Lonchura striata: one gene and its partner. The protein of the gene in region 1 interacts with the protein of each later gene in a biochemical or structural test. Links are inferred from orthologs where the notes say so. Each region holds a gene or a part of one and is shown on either strand. Other genes may lie near its edges. The genes, in order: CD2 and CD58.

Region 1 (9,147 bases):
AGACTTTCCTTTGTCTGTGGGAACTATATAAAGGCAACTCCTAGGAATAAATGCACTTAGTACTGAAATGTATTATCCAGTTGTTTGTGCTTGTCTCCTGCATCACTTCTCAACCTCCCACCTGCCCATTTCCAACAGTCCCTCACTCCTCTCTGAATTTATAGTACTGTAGTAGAACAAAATACTGTGCAAAACATCAGGTATACAAGCATTTATTAAGTTGATGGTTTCTGGGGAGTGTCAGATCTTGTCCAAAATATTACTTAGGTGGTAGCAACAACTTATCTTTCCTGGATATATTTTTAGGAGCAGCTGTTCTTCTATTATCCTTCTTGGGTAGCTAGTCCATCCACTCTCTCATGATGAAGGGGCACATTGTAGTTAATACAGGTCTTTGTGTATTTACCACTGCCAAGACTAGAAGAGGCTTTTATGGCCATTTATCCTGCTTCTGGTATAAGACAGATTGATTGCAGCATGCCAGCAAGCCAACACCTTTTGCAGCTTTAGTAATGTCACTGAATTTACTAGAACAAGATGCTGAAAGTTAGGTCCTAAATCTAAGGCCATTATAGATGATGGAAATCATCGGCAAGACTGAAATGCACCATCTGCAAGAATAACTGATGGGATGCTGCCATCTGCCCTAGCCTCAGTCATTGCTGTGATCCACAGACTGCTTGGTCTAAGGGGGTTATGTTCCTTCAGACCAGAAATAAAGGGTATTTTTTGTGAGGTTTGGCTGTTGACACATGCTTACAGCTGAAAAATAAGAAAATGTGGCTGAGAGAGAACACCTGGGGCTAAAGGTTTAACAGCATGAAGCTGTGTTGGGGTGGGGGGTTTAGGTTAGATATCAGGAAAAGGCCCTTCTCCTAGGGGCTTTTGGGGCTCTGGGATGGGCTCAGCAGGGAAGTGGTCACAACTCCAAGTCTGTCTGAGCTGAAGAATTGTTTGGACAATGCTTTTAGGCTCAGGGTGTGATTCTTGGGGCTGTCCTATTCAGGGACAGAAACTTGGTAATCTTTGTGGATCCCTTCCACCTCAGAATATTCTATGTGGCATTATGGACATTGCAGGGGAATCATGTCTCTTCAAATAATCAGGTGAGGACAATTCTGCATGATCATAGTTTGAAAATGTTAATTTACTTTTCTTGAGAGAAGGATGAAAAAATTTGTGCAGACAACTTTTTCAGTATCAGTATTTTCTGTGTGTGTGTCACTATTTCTGGAAGATTTTCATCGTGTCAGGCAACTAGGAGCTCTCAGCTCTGAGACACTGAGTCAGCATCCCTGCCAAATCCTTGGCTAAAGCTCTATTTTGAGTTATTGATCTTCATATTTCCATCACTTGATTCAAGCTGGAGTTTTTCTTTCTTGGCCCTGTGCAAGGCAGAAGGGAAGAGGAGGCAGGATGTGTCCTTCATCAGCCAAGTGGCTGAAACTCTACATGGGAGCCAGCAGTTCCCTGGCATTTCAGAGTGCAGGGCAATACCCCTTGCTAGGGCTCACTTTGCTTCTTCCTTGCTCCAGCCACTGCCCAAAATTCCTTCTGCATTGTAAAAAGCTACAGTAAAGGGGCATGTAAAGGAAGCCCTTAGCTGCCATCCAGGGCAACCCAGATGGAGCCCAGTCATGCAGGCCAGAATGCAAGATCAGGAGAGCTCCCAAGAATAAAGTTACCCTTCCCCAAAGCTTCCCCTCCACATATTACCTATCTGACACTCCAATTAAAATCACATTTACTCTTCTCCTCACACATTGTGCCTCATCAAAGGCCTGGTGAGAGATTTAGAGGTGTGAAAGTCCGGTGAGGCTCAGTGCAGGGTGTCTGACTCACATGCAAGTACCACTTACTATAACCAAAGTTTCATACAAGAGAAGATGGTACAAACTATCAGATGGGCTACAAATCTACTTTTTGTAGTCTTCATTTTCTAGTAGATCAAATAATTATATTTTTTATATTTTTTTTTTTTAATAAGCCTCGGGCATACATGTTTATTGGCTCATCACTAAGCCGAGAACTTGGAGCTGGGAACAGCTGCATATTATCTCTTGAGGTGTTGCCTTCAGATGTGGGGGGACTCTGTCACCTCCACAAGGAAATGTGAGTATGATACTTACATTCCCCGTGAGGAAACTGTATGCTGTCTTACAAAGAGCAGAAGTGTAAAGGAAAGAGCAAGCCACAAAAGCAAATGTATGAGTGCAGCGCGCTGTGGCTTCTGCAGTGGAAACAATGCTGCAGAGAGAGAGAGAGTGAGGATGTGCAAAGACACAGCCCATTGTTGTGGCTGTGCTCGGTCCTCTGCTCTCCTGTGTGTCAGAAGATGGGGATGTGTAGCAATGCAATGGGCTGAACAGGGCTCCAGCATCCTCAGCTTGATGCTAAGGACAGGCCTAACTGAACCAGGCCTAGCAGCACTGTGCTGGTACACATCTGCTTTTCTATCACTGCCCGGGTTTTCTAGCTGACTTTGTTTAATCCAGTGGTGTTACTTCCTGTGTGAATAGAGAGGGTGTCTGCAGCGAGGAGAAGCATGTGAGAGCACTGCTATCTACAGCTCACCTTGTCCTGCCCAGCACAGCTTGGGCCAGTGTCTGGCTGTGGCCACACAGAGCTCCAGCCACAGCTCTCTCTGTGCCACTCCCTCCACCTGGGAGGGCATTTATGGCTGGTGCAGGGGCTGCTCTGGCAGTGCTCTCTGCTGTAGCTGTTCTCAGGATGTTTATGCCATGCCACATCTCTGAAGGTACATGCTGGCTTCTAGATTTCCTCTGTGCCTGCAGCCCAGAGCTGCTGTTCTTTCCAGAGACACCTTCAGGCACTTTCTCCTCAGTGCCCTCTCTGGGGCTCTCCTTGAAGGGAAAACAGAGACATCAGTGCAACAACTTAGAGTGCTTTCTTCCAAGTAACATCCAAAAAAATCCTTCTTCTAAAATGGGGATCAAAGCCCAGTCAGGACTGCAGCAAGATGTTGCTTTGCTTTTCAAGAGGGAAGGCTAAAGCTGGCAGAATATTGACATTTCCCCACTTGTCATCGGGCAGGAAGACTGAGCTTAGAGACATGGGCTGCTTTGTCTTTCTCCAGCTAGGTCTGATGGTGCAAGAGGTTTCAGAGGCTGCTTAAAAAAGGGGCTGCTTTTGGGACAAGCCATTCCAGGATCTCATGGGGAATTCTTGCTGCAGGTAAGTGATGCAGGTTTGGCTGTGCTTGTGGCTTTTGTTACTCAAAATCTTGCAAGTGGATTTTGTGCATGTGCACCAAGTACTCAGGAATACCAAGGCCTGGTGTCACTTCTGTGGTGTCCAGTTACCATAGGACATCAGTCATTGAGCCCTCAGCTTTCCTCTCAAGTGCTTCTTCACTGCTCACAGTAAGGTCATTTTTGAACAGACAGTTTATATCCTTTATGAATGGGTTCTTGCTCCTGCCTACCTGTTGCTCCAACAGCAACCAGGATGTTTGGTGAGCTGGTTTGCTGGACTATAGGGGCCTTTGGTGTGACCCATTTCAGCTGTGAGTTTAGGAGATTGTGTGTGGCATGTGGGCAATGCCAAACTGATTAACTGGAGGCAGTGGTCTTCACTTTTACACCTGGCTCTACCACTAAGAAGCTTTGCCTGTCTTCTCTCTCTCACATTCACACAAGCACACATCTTTCCATTTGTATTTCATTTTTTCCATGACAATTCCCACCCCAGGGTGCTGGCAGTGTGAACATGCCAACAAACAGACAATGTGCAGGGGTACCCTGGAAGAAGGAGGTGGCTTTGAGAGATGTTTCCCTGAAAAAGAATGGAGACAAAGTTGAGCAGAGCATGGACAGTGTTTTCACCATGCTGGGCCTCCCTCTGCTCTGCTTGATGGATCCAGCAAAAAAGCCTCCAAAAAACTGAGGAGAAATCAGGGTTGATGCCTTTGCCCCAATTTTTTTGGGTGCTGGGGCTGGAAGCAGATGTGTCCAAGAGTTTAACACAGCTTGCTTGGCTGAGGAGATACCCAAATGTGGCAGTCCTTGCTCTCAGCTTGTTTCTTGCCACAGAGGGTGGAGGTCGGGCACAGAAATGTGATCTTGCTGCTGTTGCTTCCTCTCTCCTTTTGTGTATGCCTCCTTTGTGTGTTCTTTGGAAGGAAACAGTAGCAGAAAAAAGGAAGAAAAACTAGGTTTTCCTGCAGGGAGTGTTTTTTTTTTTTTTTTAACCTCATTAATACCAGTAAAAAATTATTAAGCTGGAGAAGGGGAGATGTCTTACAAGATCTTCCTTTAACCTCAAGGAAAAGGAATGACATGAACGAACAAGATTTATCTACTATTGTACAGTTCTAGTGCCACAGATTTTCTTTTGTCTTCTTTCTTGGCCTACATCCATGACAAAAAGCTGGAAGATTTCAGTGGCTGCTGAAGCAGAGGAATTATGCTGATGAGGGTAAGACTCAAAATCCTCACCACTCCATCTGTTTTGTATTGGAATCGGGAATAAGGACTTTATTAGATTCTCACATGATTTTGGACCTAGCTCCTCACAGCTTCTTTCCTTGCTGTCTTTCCCACATCAGCCAGCTTCGGAGCTGGTTTGTGGCTCGATCAAGGCAGCATTCTCACCCCCTTCCATGCTCATCCCTCTCACAGCTTGCTGGAGTGGCTGGCCCTGCCTGCAGGAAGCCTTTGTGCCTCTGGCCAGCCCTTCATACACCAGATGTTGATGCCAAGCTGATCCTGATGGTTTCCAAGGGAAGTGTGTCTCCTTTTCAAGTGTTGTCCAACAGCCACCTGCTCCTCTCTGGGGCTCCTGGGCTTGCTCTCCCCTTGCTGCTGCTGAGGCTGTGGGGGAGAATTAGGATTCCTATCACTCCCCCACCCAAAAACTGCATCCCTCCCACTAGGATGGTGGCATGTGGGTGCTGGAACTGAGCTCTTCAGGTGAGCATTGAGGAGGACAAGGGCCCTATCTCTCCCTCCAGCTGGGTGGACAAACCTCCAGGGCATTTCCTGCATTTTAGTGCCCATTTTCTTTGTGTCTCCATGTTGCCTCCATGCAGACAAAACACTCTGTTGGGGCTTATTTCCGCCTCTGCTAGAAATGAGAAGTGCTGGAGGAGAGGAGGAGGGCACAAAGGCTGTGCCGACATGTCCCATCACTGCTTGCTCACAGCAGAAAACCTTCTCACCTGCCAGGAGCTATCACTAGACAAGGCAACACTGGATGTTTTTTGACCCTGAAAATGAACTTTAGGAGGATTTTCCTAGTCAAGTGCTTGCTGCTTTTATTTCCCACTGTAAAATGTGAGTTTTTCTTACAGTTTTTTTTTTTTTCTCTTTTGGACTGATGTTAAAATTGTATTTTAAAGCATTTACAACTTGGTGGGCTGCTACTGATAAGAAACTTGTTCCACTTTTCCAATGAGTGAAGACATCTGGGTTATTGCTATTATTATTTGATTTAATTTTCAGCCAGGGGGAGGGCAGGACCTGAGTTTCCTATTCCAGTTATAATAATAAGCTGTAAAGAGTTTTGGTTTTAAGTTAATGAGCCTTAATTTGACACATGTGTAATGAGAAATGTCAGCATACAGTTTGCTTTCTGCCCTTGAGGCAGCTTGTACTACATTAGAGATCCAGTTCACTGTGCATTATCGCATATAATTTCCTTTTCTTATCAAAGATGTGCAAATCTTTTGAAAGTACAATTTATATTCTTCCATAAATATTAAAAGAGTGATATATTTCAGTGTCCTCAGTGGAGCTGGAGTTTAAGATGTGAAAACAGCAAGCAACTACATATATTTTTTATATTTTGCATATTATTGTTCTCATTATTTTTTAAAATATTAATCTAAAAACTTAATTAAGGTGTTAACTCATAGATTAGAGAAGGTTTTAAGAGATGGAGACAATACAAGCCTGCATAATTTTTTTCCCCTCGGTTTCATTCCACTAAGTTTGCATGTATGACTGTTTAATGCTATGCTTTTCCTTCAGAACAAAATTAATAGATAAATAAGGATTTCTTCTTTTTACGTACACAATCTATAAAACATCTTCTCTAGCAGAAATAAGGATTATTTCCTTGAATGGAAAATTGTTTCAGAGACTTCCTTCTCTAAAATTACTATGGGAGCTTTTTCTTTTAACTCTTTCTTGTGACTGTGAGTGAGCTGTAGTCTCTCAGTTAAAGCCTTTCTGCCCCTTGGAGCACATTTTAGTTGGCATTTTTATCAGATGTGTTGTTTCATTAGCGAAACAGATTTTTAGTATCATACGTGTGGGATACTCAGCTTTCCACTAGAAAGACTGTGGAGATCAGATCAATATCTAGAGATGCCTCTGGTCCACAGAGATGCCATTGAATTATCCTTGAAAACTCAGATTACTTTCTTTCTTTACTTCCAGAGAGAAAATCTAAGTAGTGTCTGTTATGCAAAGAAATCCTATTACTATCTCTAAATACTTGTTCATGACTGAGCAGAAGCAAGTATCAGAATTCAAATATCTGGGTATAACATGTAGTGTCATCTGTGTGGGGCATAGCTGCTTCTAAGGCTGTTTAGCTGATAGCTTTATTTCAGGACATTTCATTAGATATATCGAATACCTTGCAAGAAAGGCAATGCTGAAAGAACAACCTCTCTTTAGAGGTGGTGAATTGCCAGAAGCACTACAGCATTAATGTTCTTGTTCAGAGGCATGCTATTTTAGTTCTCTGATTATCTTTAATATTGTTAGTTTAATGAAATAGCCACTGGGTTTCAGTTTCCCCTCTGTGGTGCCATTTATCATTATCCTAGATACAAGGAGTGAAGGACTGTAATAAAAATATGCATAAACACAGGTTTATTCTCTCTGTGGGGAAAAAAGTACTTAAAATACATAAAATTAGGGCAGAATCAGCTCTGTTGATGGGAAGGGAAATCTCCTCCTGCTGATTGGCTTCACCCTGTAAATTGAGGAGGAATGAACACGATAAAATGACAAACTAAATAAGCTGTGGCTCTGGGTGAGCTTATCCCACTTGACAATTGCACACAGATTTCGCCCTCCTCCTGCAGGTTTGTCCACCTGCCACGGGGCTGGGGACAGTTCCTTACTTGAAATGACCTCCCAGCAAAGTTTCCCAAGTCCTGGCTCACCAGAAATGGGGCCTGCAGAGACGGTGGCTGAAGCAGCCTGGAGCAGGCAGAGCACCCGGGCACTGCTCCAGGAGTTCATCCTCCCACTACTGGAAATACAGAGGATGTTTAGTGAATATCCCCTTTGGCAGCCCCATGCTCAGGTGCTTCTCAGTCCTGACACTCCCTTTGGGAAGCTCCTATTCTTCTCTGTTCTGGAGAAGGGACCTGGAATCAAAGGAAGAGAAGATTTTTGAGGTTTGTTTTGGCAGTAGCTTTTCTTGTAATGACTCCTGCAGCCCTTCAGTTGACAGGATGCTGGTGGCTGTGTCTTCCTGCCTTACCTGCCCCATCAGGATCCCATGCTAGAAAAATCAAGTGGATACATTCCAGTGGGGCAGAGTAACTGGGATAGGAGGCAGGGGGGGCATTGCTGTGGGTGTGCCTCCAGTTCAACGCCTTACACTCACAGCTTGAAATGGGCTACCACTATTATCATCATTGCTGTCACTGGGGTGGCTGAAATGATTCTGCTGTTCAGGGCTGTGACTATTTTTGCTGTCTGCAGTAATGCTTGCAGTGATGGGCTCTCTGGGTGCCAGCCTGTGCCATGTGCAAAACACAGAAGGGACCTTCTTTTCAGGAAGGGCTAAGTTCATGTTAAACTGAATGGGAGGCCATGAATCTTGGCATCCAGAGTCACTCCAAGTAAGTCAGCCAAGGTATAAATTCAGCTTTTGAAAGCTGGGCTCTTAGCTTTCTTGCCTCTCAGAATTAAATTGGATGCTGGCATTTATCTAAAGAACAATCAAGAAATATTTTGGAGTAGGGGAAGAAGATGGCATCAGTGAAGCAGAGGGGCTTAGGCAGCTCAGGAAAGGGTGGCATAGCAAATGACAGCCTTTTGGGTGGCTGCTGGAGACAACTGAGGGGCTGGCTGTGCTTCCCTCGACAGGCATCAGCACCAGCTGGATTTACAAGGCAGTGAATGAGACAGCTCTTCTCAGCATCACTGCTCCTGGGAACATCTATGAGGCAACATGGACTAGAGGGGGACAAAGGCTGGTTCAGATCAAAGATAACAAAACTAAGCACTTTGTGAACAAGGAGCAGTGCAGGTGTGCCATACTCCGGAATGGGACTCTGCAAATCCAGCGCGTGGAGAAAGCGGACAGTGGAAACTACACGGTGATGGTTTATCAGAAGGATGGAAAACTGAAGGCGGAAGAAAATGTCATATTCTTTGTTCAGGGTGAGTTTTTGCTTTTCCAATACCATGCCCATGACTGCTGAACAGGACTTGCTATTGTCTGCTCTCTCCCACAGCCCTCCTTTCTGATGAGGAAGGGGTGACTTCTGTAGGACATACCTTTTTCTTCCTGCCTCTGACAGCAGCCTGCCTCTCTTCTCCCTTCTCTTGCTCTGATTGATGGCCTCAAATCCCTGGCTTCTTTATGGCTCCCCTGTTTGTCAGCCAACAGGTTTCCAGCTGTGCCCAAGAAAGCAGCTGGGAACAGGTTCACACTGACAGCAGGGTGGGGGTGGTCAGTCCTACTGCAGCACCACAAACAGTGCTAAGACCCTAAGCTGGGGTGGGACCCTGAGAGGGGACTGGGCCCCCAGCAGCATCCTGCTTCCAGAAACCTCTGTTAGGACCACAGCAGCCTATGGGGTACAGTTGTGGCTGATGCACTGTGGGTTTCAGGTATTTCTGGTGTCATTTTATGGGTACTGAGTTATGACTTTTGTTCTCTGGCTGCTGGTCCAGCAAGCTGAGCAACTTGTGTTGCCAGCCCCTTGAGGAGAGCTCAGGAGTCCAGATGGCACTAAATGCCTTCATTCAGGCAATGGAAACCCACTCCATTTTTGCTCTAACATACAAAATATCCAGCAGTCACCTCCCCTGAGATAAACCACAATAGGAGCTGAATTTGCAGTGGAAGAAGACTCCTGCACCCTCTCCTTGCATAGCACAACACAACAAATATGAAGACTGTGCTCTTTGAAGCACAGTTAAGCACACACCTGGG
Region 2 (9,753 bases), about 13 Mb from region 1:
AAACATGAGAATGCTGATGAAAAAATATGTCAATGATAATTTCACAATTAATTAATTTGCTTGATGAAAATGCTTTATGAGAATGAAAAGGTTGCTGCTGGAAGGCACTTTGACCTAGACAGCAAAAAATAAACATCTGAACTGTAGCTAGTAAAACACCTGAGGAAATTTAGGCTAAAAAGCAAGCACAAAAGTTCAGCAGTACGTGTCACTAGCAGTGTCACTTTAAGAGCTGGAATCCTGCTGCAATAACAATACATGCACCTTTCTTTCTGGACTGGAGGAAGCAAAGCAGCCTTGAATTTGGCATATAATAAAATAATTGTTCATTTATGTATTTTAAAATTGAACAATCAGCTTCCCAATTTCCCTCAGAAGATACTTTACACCAGCTAGACAAAACATGGCCTATGGGTCAGTACAAAGGGGTGAGATTCAATATTCAGATTCCACTAGAAGGATGTGACTATCCCTCACTGCTGTTTATTTGGTCTTCCTGTGCACTGACAAGGAAAAAAAGAGATAATTTTAGAGATCTGCTTGGAAAAACTGTAGGTCATGAGCCAGTCTAAGTAGCAAAAGCAGGGTGAGTACCAGCACAGTGAGAGTCAGAAATGGCATAAGATGAGAGGGATCATCAGTAAAGGAAAGGCAGGAGGTGCACTGCAGTGAAGCTGCAGGTGATGTGGGACTGTAGATGTGATCTCTAAGGCAGTCTCATTGACAGTACAATTCAAGAAAGAAATGGAAGTGTGGCATTTGTTTATTTTTCTCTCAGCTACTGCAGATCACACTTGCTGACCTTTTGAAGCAATGTGGCAAAGATGCCACTGCCAGAGGCCAAGTGGTCCCTTTTCTGCATCCTTACTCTTCAGGTAAACCTGGATCATTCTTGGAAATCAGGTTAATGGAATTAAATCACTGAGGGTGATTGAATCGAAGCATAAGAGAAGAAAGGACAATTCTTGCACCACTTTTTCTCCCCAGAACATAAAAAGGTTATTGCCAGGACCTATTGACATACAGCTTGTTTAGGGAGAACTGAATTCAGATCCTTCTCTGTAAAACCTTCAATCCCTTGCCAGGCAGTCATGTTTTTCTTACCTGTTTGTGCTGAGCTGGGCAGCAAGAGGAGAGCAAGAACCATGAGCAGTTTTCTCTTCGGATCTTCAACCATCTTCCTGTTTGCCCAATACAAGAATAAGGATTGTACAGAGGAAAACCAGCTGTGGTTAATGATCAGCTTGACTCTGTAATGATCAATCAGTCTGTGCACTTTTGGGAAAATGACCTAATTCGGATTTTAAGCAATTACCTCTCCTCTTATTTTACCATTAGTCAAAATCTGAAGCAGAGGCTTCAATGACTTTTTGGTTAAAGGAGATGTTGACCTTCCTTTCCTCTCTACCTCCCTTTCCTCAAGGGAAACTTCTCACTTCAGAAATCAGGCAGTGAAACCAGTTCCAGCAAGTGATAGAGTTACAGTGCTTTATCCTTGCTACCTAGACCTTTCTGCCAAACTCTGACTAGGGATGCTGGTTTATCACAAGGCTTCACAGTAAGTCCATGCCAGGAAGATTCATATCAGCCTTGCATCGTATTTTCCTACTGCATTGCTGTCTTTCCTGTATTTCTGCTTTTGGTCAGATACCTGTAACAGTCTAAAAAAGGCGAAACAGTGGATTACATCTGAAAAGCCAGGGGAAAGGCAGGCTAAAATGCAACTGGTGGTCATATCACCATAACATGCCCAGACTACATTTCTTAGGGTGGGGGCACCCTTCAGTAATGCACCAGCATCATAAGCATGCAAATACTTAACAAAGGCCTTTGAATAAAAAACTTTACCACTTTAATGTATCCAGATGGAGAAGCATAAATGCACACCCAGATGTGCAACATGACACCGATGATGAGGTACCATATTCCTGGCTGAGATGGACTTTCAGGTAAGGACACACCTGTATCCTCTGTGTTGGTCCATCGTGCTGGACAAGGCAGCTTTGCCCTTGGCTGTGCTAAATGGCAGGAAGGGTAATGAGCAAAGTAAAGTTCCCTGTCCGGGTACTAATCTACAGTGGCTTAGTTGAACAACCAAATTAAGAAATTTCTTCAGTCTGATCAGGAAGATGACCAAAGATATTTCAAAAAGCATCAGACACTACTTTTCTTTAGAACTATTGGTGATAGCAGTAATTTCCTTACCCCAAGTTTGTTTCAGCTGAAGGCTTTGGTGCTGTTTTAAGCAGAAGTTCATTTTATTTCCAAATCTTCAGAGATAAATTTCTCTGGTTTTCACTGAAAGGCAGCCTTAGCTGCCTGGCCTGGAGGACTATTGAACCCCACCCCAACTGCATCCTCTCAGATATACATACTGAGATACCTTCTGACCCTGAAGTACTTGCCTCCAGGATCAAGCTGGCTTATTGTCAGAGAAGCAGGTCCTCAGTGTCTCACAAATATATGCCCGAGTTTGTCAGCCCAGTCAGTTTTCCAAGACTGAAAACTGCAATGCCAATAGCCATCTCCTGGCTTCCAGCCCATGCTTCATCTTTCCATCCCCAGCACCAGATTCATCTTGTTTTATCTTACAATTCTTAGATTGTAAGATAAAGCCTGTGCACTCCAACAGGCCCATTCCTTCTTTGCCAAGTCCTATGGAAATTTTGAAATGCCATGTAATATAAAGAGGCACCATTATTACAGCCTTATAGTTAAACAAAACTTTAGCCAAGATTTGCAGATTTGGTTTTATTTTGTGCATTTGCAGAGTTGTTAAACAACATCCTGGTGTTTAACAATATTGCAAATGCACAAAACTGGTGTTTTTTAAAAAATAAATGTCTTTTAAGTTGTCTACTAAATCTGAATTCTCAGTTTAATGAATTCCTGGATTTTTCTTATTATAGCAGCACACCATGGCAATTCCTTATGCAAACAGCAAAAGCCACTCAAGTTACTCTGTGCTTAAAATGCTTTTACTAAGTAAAGCTATTTTGATATAAAGGGTTTTCTTCTTATTGCTTGTGAACTTAATTGCAGAGTAATTACAGTTATATTAATTCAGAAACTTAATGCCACTTATTTTGCTTCCCAAAGGGAGTGATTATAATGACAATGGGAGCACTGTTGCAAAGACTTCCAAACCACTTTCTTTTAACAGTCCCTTACAGAGAAGTCATGAAGCACAGTGTGATTTTCTTGAGAATGTCAGGGATAGTGAAAGCAAAAAACCTTGATTTAGTGCACAAATTCTTTTAATTAAAAAGAAAATTTTAAAAATGTGCTGACTGCACATTCAAGCCAATGCTGAAAAGTGTCCAACTCAGCTGAAAGTGTCGAGTCTCCTCTCACAAAGCAACAGCTGGCAGAGGCATATAAGCACTGCAAATAGCCAATGGTCAAGTGGAAATCTGATCACAGGAAAATTCACTTGGCCTGAAAAACTAATTTTTGATACTAGAAAAAATGCATTTGGGGTAGCAGCACCAGACCTTGGGGGAAACCATGTGTGAGCTAAGCAAATGATGACTATTTAAAACCTCTCCCTGTGGAGAGGTTTGCATTCAAAGAAGGGCATGAAATACACCCAGAGCTTATCTCACTGTTCATTAAGTTCTGGATCCTCCTTACTGCTGAAATACTTGGTCTCAGAGCTCCTGTATTTTCTATCATTTGCCTGTGAAGTAGAAACCATGGTTCTGTGTTAAGCATGCAGACGCCTGTGTATTGTTTCCAAGACTGACAGAGGAACCAGGATTAGTTCTCATCTCAACAAAAAAGCAATTTGACCTTCCTGCTTTCAGAGGTGTGTCTTAGCAATGACAGAGCAGGAAGTAAACGTCAAAGATTTTCTTGGCAACTGAGGAAGGGAAAACAGGGGCAAGTCTGCTTGGGTACTCTGTCAGGAAAGGAGGAAAAACAGCCATCTGAGCCTTTTTTGAGTACTTCCTGGATCTTCCACCTGGTATGCCTGTATAAGTATGCATAAGGAAGATATATCCTTACCATGTACTACCAAGTAGAAGAGCCTAGTTGAGGGCACCAGTCTCCAGTTCAAGTTTCTCTCTGTTTCTCTGCTCTATAAAGCCATAAATCATCTTGTACAATGTGGAGCAGCTCAGTAGGAAGAACGCAGGCCTGCCTTAAGTGCATGTGGATGACGACCTGTGTTCCTTCCATCCTAAAATAACCTGTTTCAAAGTGAAACTGTCTGCTTCCGATTTCTCTCTCCCAACCTCAAAGATTTTGTGCCCTACAGGAAAGCTGCAGTGTGCAACAAGATTCAATCCAAAGCCTCTGGCATCTTGAGAGGACACTTTACCTGACAAGAGGACGAGAACATGTGCTCCTGCCATGAGAGTGCTGCAGGAAGATGGCCATGTTATATTTCTGGTGTAAACACTGTGACTTGGAGGCTTTACAGGGTAGGGATCTCCCTTTGACACTTGTCGGAGATTAAGAACACAGGGGACAAAGGTTACCGAGGGACAGAAAGGCTCCAAGCTGTCACTGAGCAGAAGGAATTTATGGGATGTGCCTGTCTCTGTTTGTGAGTTACATGTCATGGCATTACAACAGAGCTATGGAGATAGAATCAGTATTATTCTGTTTTAGTAAGAACTGAATGAGACAGCATTACTCGGCTCAAGATGCAGTGTCATTCCAGCTCATGGTGCAGCCTTCAGTGATGAGTCAAAGGAGCTTAGAGTAGCTTCTAGAAGGAGGGGAAAAGAATCCCTCAGTATTTACTCTGCTAGGACCTCTGTTTAGAGATATCCATGGCTGCCAATTATTTTTCTGATTGTGTTGTGTGAAGTGCAAAGCTGAAGTCTCTCAAAGGATGGTAAATAGCCCGACATGGCTGCTCGTCAGTGAGTGTGGGAGCCAAGTGTACTGGGAGAAATCTGACTGAGAGATAAACCTGTGGTGAGAACCTCCCTCACAGCACTGTGCTGGTGTTCTCCAGGACAGACAGACAAGCTGCTGGGAGCTGAGCATGCTTTGGGGCTCTAAGGTCTGCAGCTGGACTCTTCTCAGCTGGGGCAATGCACTGGGGAGTGGGATGCAGGCAAAGAAGGTTTGAAACATCCACTCAGAGCAACTCACTGCCATGAGAGGAACGCTCACTCACAGCTGCCACTGGAATATTTGTCAGAGTAGCAATTTTTCAATAGCTGCTATATACTTACATTTTCCCGACTGTTGTGGTTTTCCCTTTCTTCCTCAAAAACACTCAGCAGTGTCAAGAGATCGGTCATTCATGAAAGAGAATCTAAGTGTGTTTGAGTTTTGTGAATGGGCTGCTCAGCAGCTGGTGTCAAAGAAAACCTCTTGAAGTCAGAGTTGGTTTCTGTTCTATTTCTTTTCCTTCACTCCCCTTCCCCAGAGATCAACCTCACCTTGGGTGGAACAGGAGAGCATAGCCAGTCTTAGCCTTGAGCCCACTCCTCAAAAGGAGATATTTCCAGGTGTCCCTCGAAGAGAACAGTGGACATTTTTGTGAGCACAAATGTCAAACACCAGGAGGCTCCAGGGAGTAAAAGGGGCTGGGGCTGTCCCTGCCCATGGCAGAGGGGTTGCAGCTGACCCAAACTATTCCGTGATCATTTTCGGAGGTGGTGAGCTGCGTGCCACCTGCTGAAATTCATTCTTCACCTAATCTGCGTGGCTCCCACTCCCCATAAACCGATTCACTTTCAGGTTTTTAGTTAGCTGAACCTCCCCGAGGTAAGAGCAACGCGACAACTTCCGTCGCCAGAAGTCGCGCCCACAAACCACAAACGCCCTTCGCTGGCACTCCAAGGCCATGTATGGCATCCGACGCGGCACAGGAGCCGCAGCCCCCGCTCCTCACCGCCCGCAGCTCCCAGCCGCAGCGCTCAGGGCGGCCGCCCAGCGGAAGCTGCCGCCGGCTGTGGGCGGGACGGGGCGCGGCCGGCCGCCGGCGCTCGCTCTGCCTCAGCAGCGGTGTGCGGGCATCCATGTGGCGGCTGGCTTCGCTCCTGTGCCTTTCGCCCCTCCTGGGTAAGCTGGGAGAGCGCGGTGGGGACCCTTCCCGGCTCCTTCGCTTTTCTTCCTCCCTCCCTCGCTCCCTCCCTCGCTCCCTCCGTGCCGCCCGGGACAGCGGGAGCGGGGCACCCCCGGGCGTTCGGACGCGCTTGCTCCGGGGCAGGGGTTCGGGAGGGCCGGGAGCTGCCCCAGCCGCCGGCAGCCCCTGAGGAGCCCTGCGACAGCGGCTGCCTGGCGGGACGGGCGTCCCCGCCGCTCGCTGCCTGCCCAGGGGCGGCGGGCACAACCGAGCCGCTGCTTCCGTCCCCCGCCTAAAACCAGAGCTGTGTGTCAGCCTGTGCACCGGCCGGCTGCCCCGGAGCTGTGTGTCAGCCTGTGCACCGGCCGGCTGCACCTTCAGGAGCTCCCCTCCCTAGTGGCGGCAGGCTTCTGCGCCCCGTTAGTTTCAAACTTGTGTTAACGGGAAGCTTGGAGTGTGGGCGATTTTTGGGGTATAAGTCAATTATTACTATTAACTTAAATGATAGCTATTAACAAGTAATGATTACTGTTGAAATTGTAGTCAAAGGCCTTCTAAATGCCACCACTGTGCCATAGGAGCATAATCCTTGCACTGGGCTGTGAACATGAGAAAAAAGCATGATTTAATGTATGAAGACCTTATCATGTATAATGGATTTCTTCTGACTTTCGGTTTTTTGGTTTGTTTTTTTTTTTTTTTTTCTGCTTTGGGAGTTTCCTGAATGTGCCTAAAATAGGAGCTATTGTATCCCCCTGTTTAAAAAGGAACTTCTCTGCTGCTCAGAGCAACTCCCTGCAATTTCCTCCTCATACCATTCCTGAGGTCTTCAGTTTGCTTTATTTAATTGATATGGAGAGATCCTGTTCTGTAAGAGAGTACTGTGGTCCCTGTGTGCAGGGAGGACCGGTGGAGAAGCCGGGACACCGTGCACCTGCACGAGTCTGCCCATGATAAGCCTTAGCTGCAATTTCTTACCTCACCTTTTGCTGAGAGTTCTAAATGAGTGTGACTAGGGCATGATTAACTGAGTATCTTCCTGTAACTTCTTTTGTGAGTGGGAGCACTTTGTTACCTTGCATTATGTAAGCTGGCATGCTGCTGCTACTCTGCACATCTCAGTCCACATGCTATAGATTGGCCTAGAGAAAAAAGATTCCAGATTCCAAAGAACTTACAGTTGAAAGGAAGAGGTGATGGTGCTTGGACAGCTGGAGAGGGTAATTGTGGCTACAAGTATTATAACATCCTCCTCTAAGGAAAAACGTAGCTAGTTCTGTTGTCTTCTCTGTAAAACTTTGATTCTAAAGTGGTTGATTAGGGCAGGAGATCGGGAATGCAAACACTTTACTGTTCACTAAACTGTATAGCTGCGGTTTCACACCATGTTCTTGTTTATATGCTTGCATTATTGCTGTTACATGTATGTTGACTATGTGTAAATGTTTCATGTTAATTTTAACAAAATAATCCATCATCTCTCTTTGTGAAAATCAAGACCCTGAAAGTCAGACTGATCTGCCCAAGTGCATGAAGTAAATCAGTAGCAGTTCAATTTGGCATGTCAGTTTCTAGCCATGCAAACACCTGTTCTGTACACCAGGATGCTGTTGATAGATCCTTGTCCTTTTGTCAGCCTTCCCCTCCAGGATCTTTTCTCCATCCAGATTCAAAGCACTGCAGTTATCCCAGTCACACTTCTGAATGTCTGGAGTAGGGGAGAAGATGTCCCTCTTCATTCCCTTGTGGAAGCCAGGATTTGCAGTGTAGCTTTGGTGTCCAGAGTTCCTCCTTGCCACGTCAGGATTCCTGCTTTTCACAGTGTCAGGCCAAATCAGTTTTTTATCTGATGAAACCTTAGACTTGTCAATTACAGCACAAAACCTCACCTCAAGGCTATCGAAGGACTTTCATTTTAGACCTACCAAGAGCATGCTTGTTCAGTTGTTAGAAGTTCAAGACAAAGCTCTGTTCAGATTTAGGATCCTGGATATTGTATGTGGCTGGAAGGAAAGTCAGTGTGGTATCTGTGGCCTAGTTTGGTGAAGGAACAAAGAGAGAGATCTTTTTGTCCTCCCTGTGGAGGAGGTGAATAAATAATACCACACCAACAGGGGGATCACAGTGCAAGCCACACTGGTGAGGATGTTCTATTGCAATGCAGATGGTGACCAAACTTGCTTTAGCTGCATCAAGATCCTGCCCCAAAAGCAGAGGGGATATAGGAAGTAAGCTGGATATGTGAACTAGAGCATCTAGCAGCATCCTGCATCTGTAGTAAGGCTCATCTGAAAGCCACACACCTCTTTCAGTGTTCTGTGCATCAACTCTTTTTTTATGCAGTATTAGTTCTTGCCTTCTAGTTCTTGCATATTTAGATATGTTCCCTAATGCCATTTTCATTGTATGTTTGCATTAATGGTTGCTTTCTCAATTTAACTTCTTTATAAAAATTGAGCTAAACTGAGAAAACCTGGTTCACTAAAAGCAGAAGTTGCCATCTCCAGTACTGAGCATAGACTGACAATCTGAGAGTTGATAAAAATTATTTTTCTTTCAGACTTCTTCTGAAAGTGACCAGCATAGAAACCAAATTCCCTCAATGTGGATTTTTGTGTCTATGTCATTAGGCAGTTCAACAAGTTTGGGCTTGCTGGTTTTTTTCTTACTATTTTTAAATTTCCTGTCTTTTTTTTTTTTTCCTCTGTACACACAAATATATGCTCCTTTCTGCATTTTTATAGATCAGAAAAACACTGGGGTTGCTCAATGTTTCTTCTGTGTCTCTCCATTCCATGAGAGGTGCCATAGGAACTACACTACAAGGCATTGCGATGAATGTGGGAAAATCTGGACTCCTTACAAATTCAGGTTGTTTGTGGAATGTCGTTATTTTGTGTGTTGCTACTAGAAATGTCAAACACAATATTAAATAGTATAAATGGAAAAATCAGTTATCAGCACTGTGAAGCTGTCACGTGCTTATGTTGTCCTGTCCCCTTACTCTTGAATCTTCCTGAATAAACAGAGGAATTATAATCAGTTATAAATTCCTCACACAGAGGGAAAAAAAAAGTCAAACTAAACCTTTGCCCTCTGCTTAAAAACTCTTGATGAGAGCTGAGGTTGTTATGTCATATTAAAACAAAAATGAAACAATATTTTTGCCATTGCTATTTAACACTACAGAATGAACAGAGTGAATTTTTTGTCAGATAGTTTCTTGCCTTGATGTAATTAATGGTCTTATACTTTAGAAAGCCAAGATTATCTCTGGATTACATCCACAGACTCCTTTGATCCTGGGTGTGTTAAAGGTTTTCATTAAAAATGGGTGTAAGTTTGTTTATTTTTGTTTTTTTCCTTACTGTTTCTCCTATCTGTTCTCAGCCTCAGGAGAGCTTTTTGGCCATGTTCAGGGTAGTGTGACAGTGGGCTGGCTGGCTGATACAGGGTTTGTAAGAGACAGAGGTTGTAATTTGGAGTCTGTTTAAGCCGGTGTTGCCACAGGTTGAGAACAGTTCCTGTCCATGGCATCAGTTTCTACTTTATAAGTAGAACTGCAAAGATGATCTGTCTGAAAATGAACACGACTGAAGGAAAGAGTTAGCAAGACAGATTATTTTCTTAGTGCTGTTGATCACAGAGCCTACATGAAGATGTACTTGTACAGCATAGGAAGTGACCAGAGGATTTGGAATAAGTGACCAGAGTATTTGGAA

The links.
Region 2: the proteins of CD2 (region 1) and CD58 form a complex in vitro, tested with the Homo sapiens proteins (3 studies listed by BioGRID and IntAct, with this or other methods). The link is inferred for Lonchura striata from reciprocal best matches to the Homo sapiens genes CD2 and CD58.

The regions. Positions count from the first base shown.
Region 1 is NC_134604.1:14,702,781-14,711,927, reverse strand, and holds the start of CD2 (T-cell surface antigen CD2), read left to right. Parts: upstream 1-5,138; 5' UTR 5,139-5,233; coding exon 5,234-5,294; intron 5,295-8,072; coding exon 8,073-8,369; intron 8,370-9,147. UniProt on the Homo sapiens protein: CD2 interacts with lymphocyte function-associated antigen CD58 (LFA-3) and CD48/BCM1 to mediate adhesion between T-cells and other cell types. CD2 is implicated in the triggering of T-cells, the cytoplasmic domain is implicated in the signaling function.
Region 2 is NC_134604.1:27,291,418-27,301,170, reverse strand, and holds the start of CD58 (lymphocyte function-associated antigen 3), read left to right. Parts: upstream 1-5,933; 5' UTR 5,934-5,984; coding exon 5,985-6,027; intron 6,028-9,753. Other genes in the region: PLA1A (phospholipase A1 member A), read right to left, coding at 1,105-1,177. UniProt on the Homo sapiens protein: Ligand of the T-lymphocyte CD2 glycoprotein.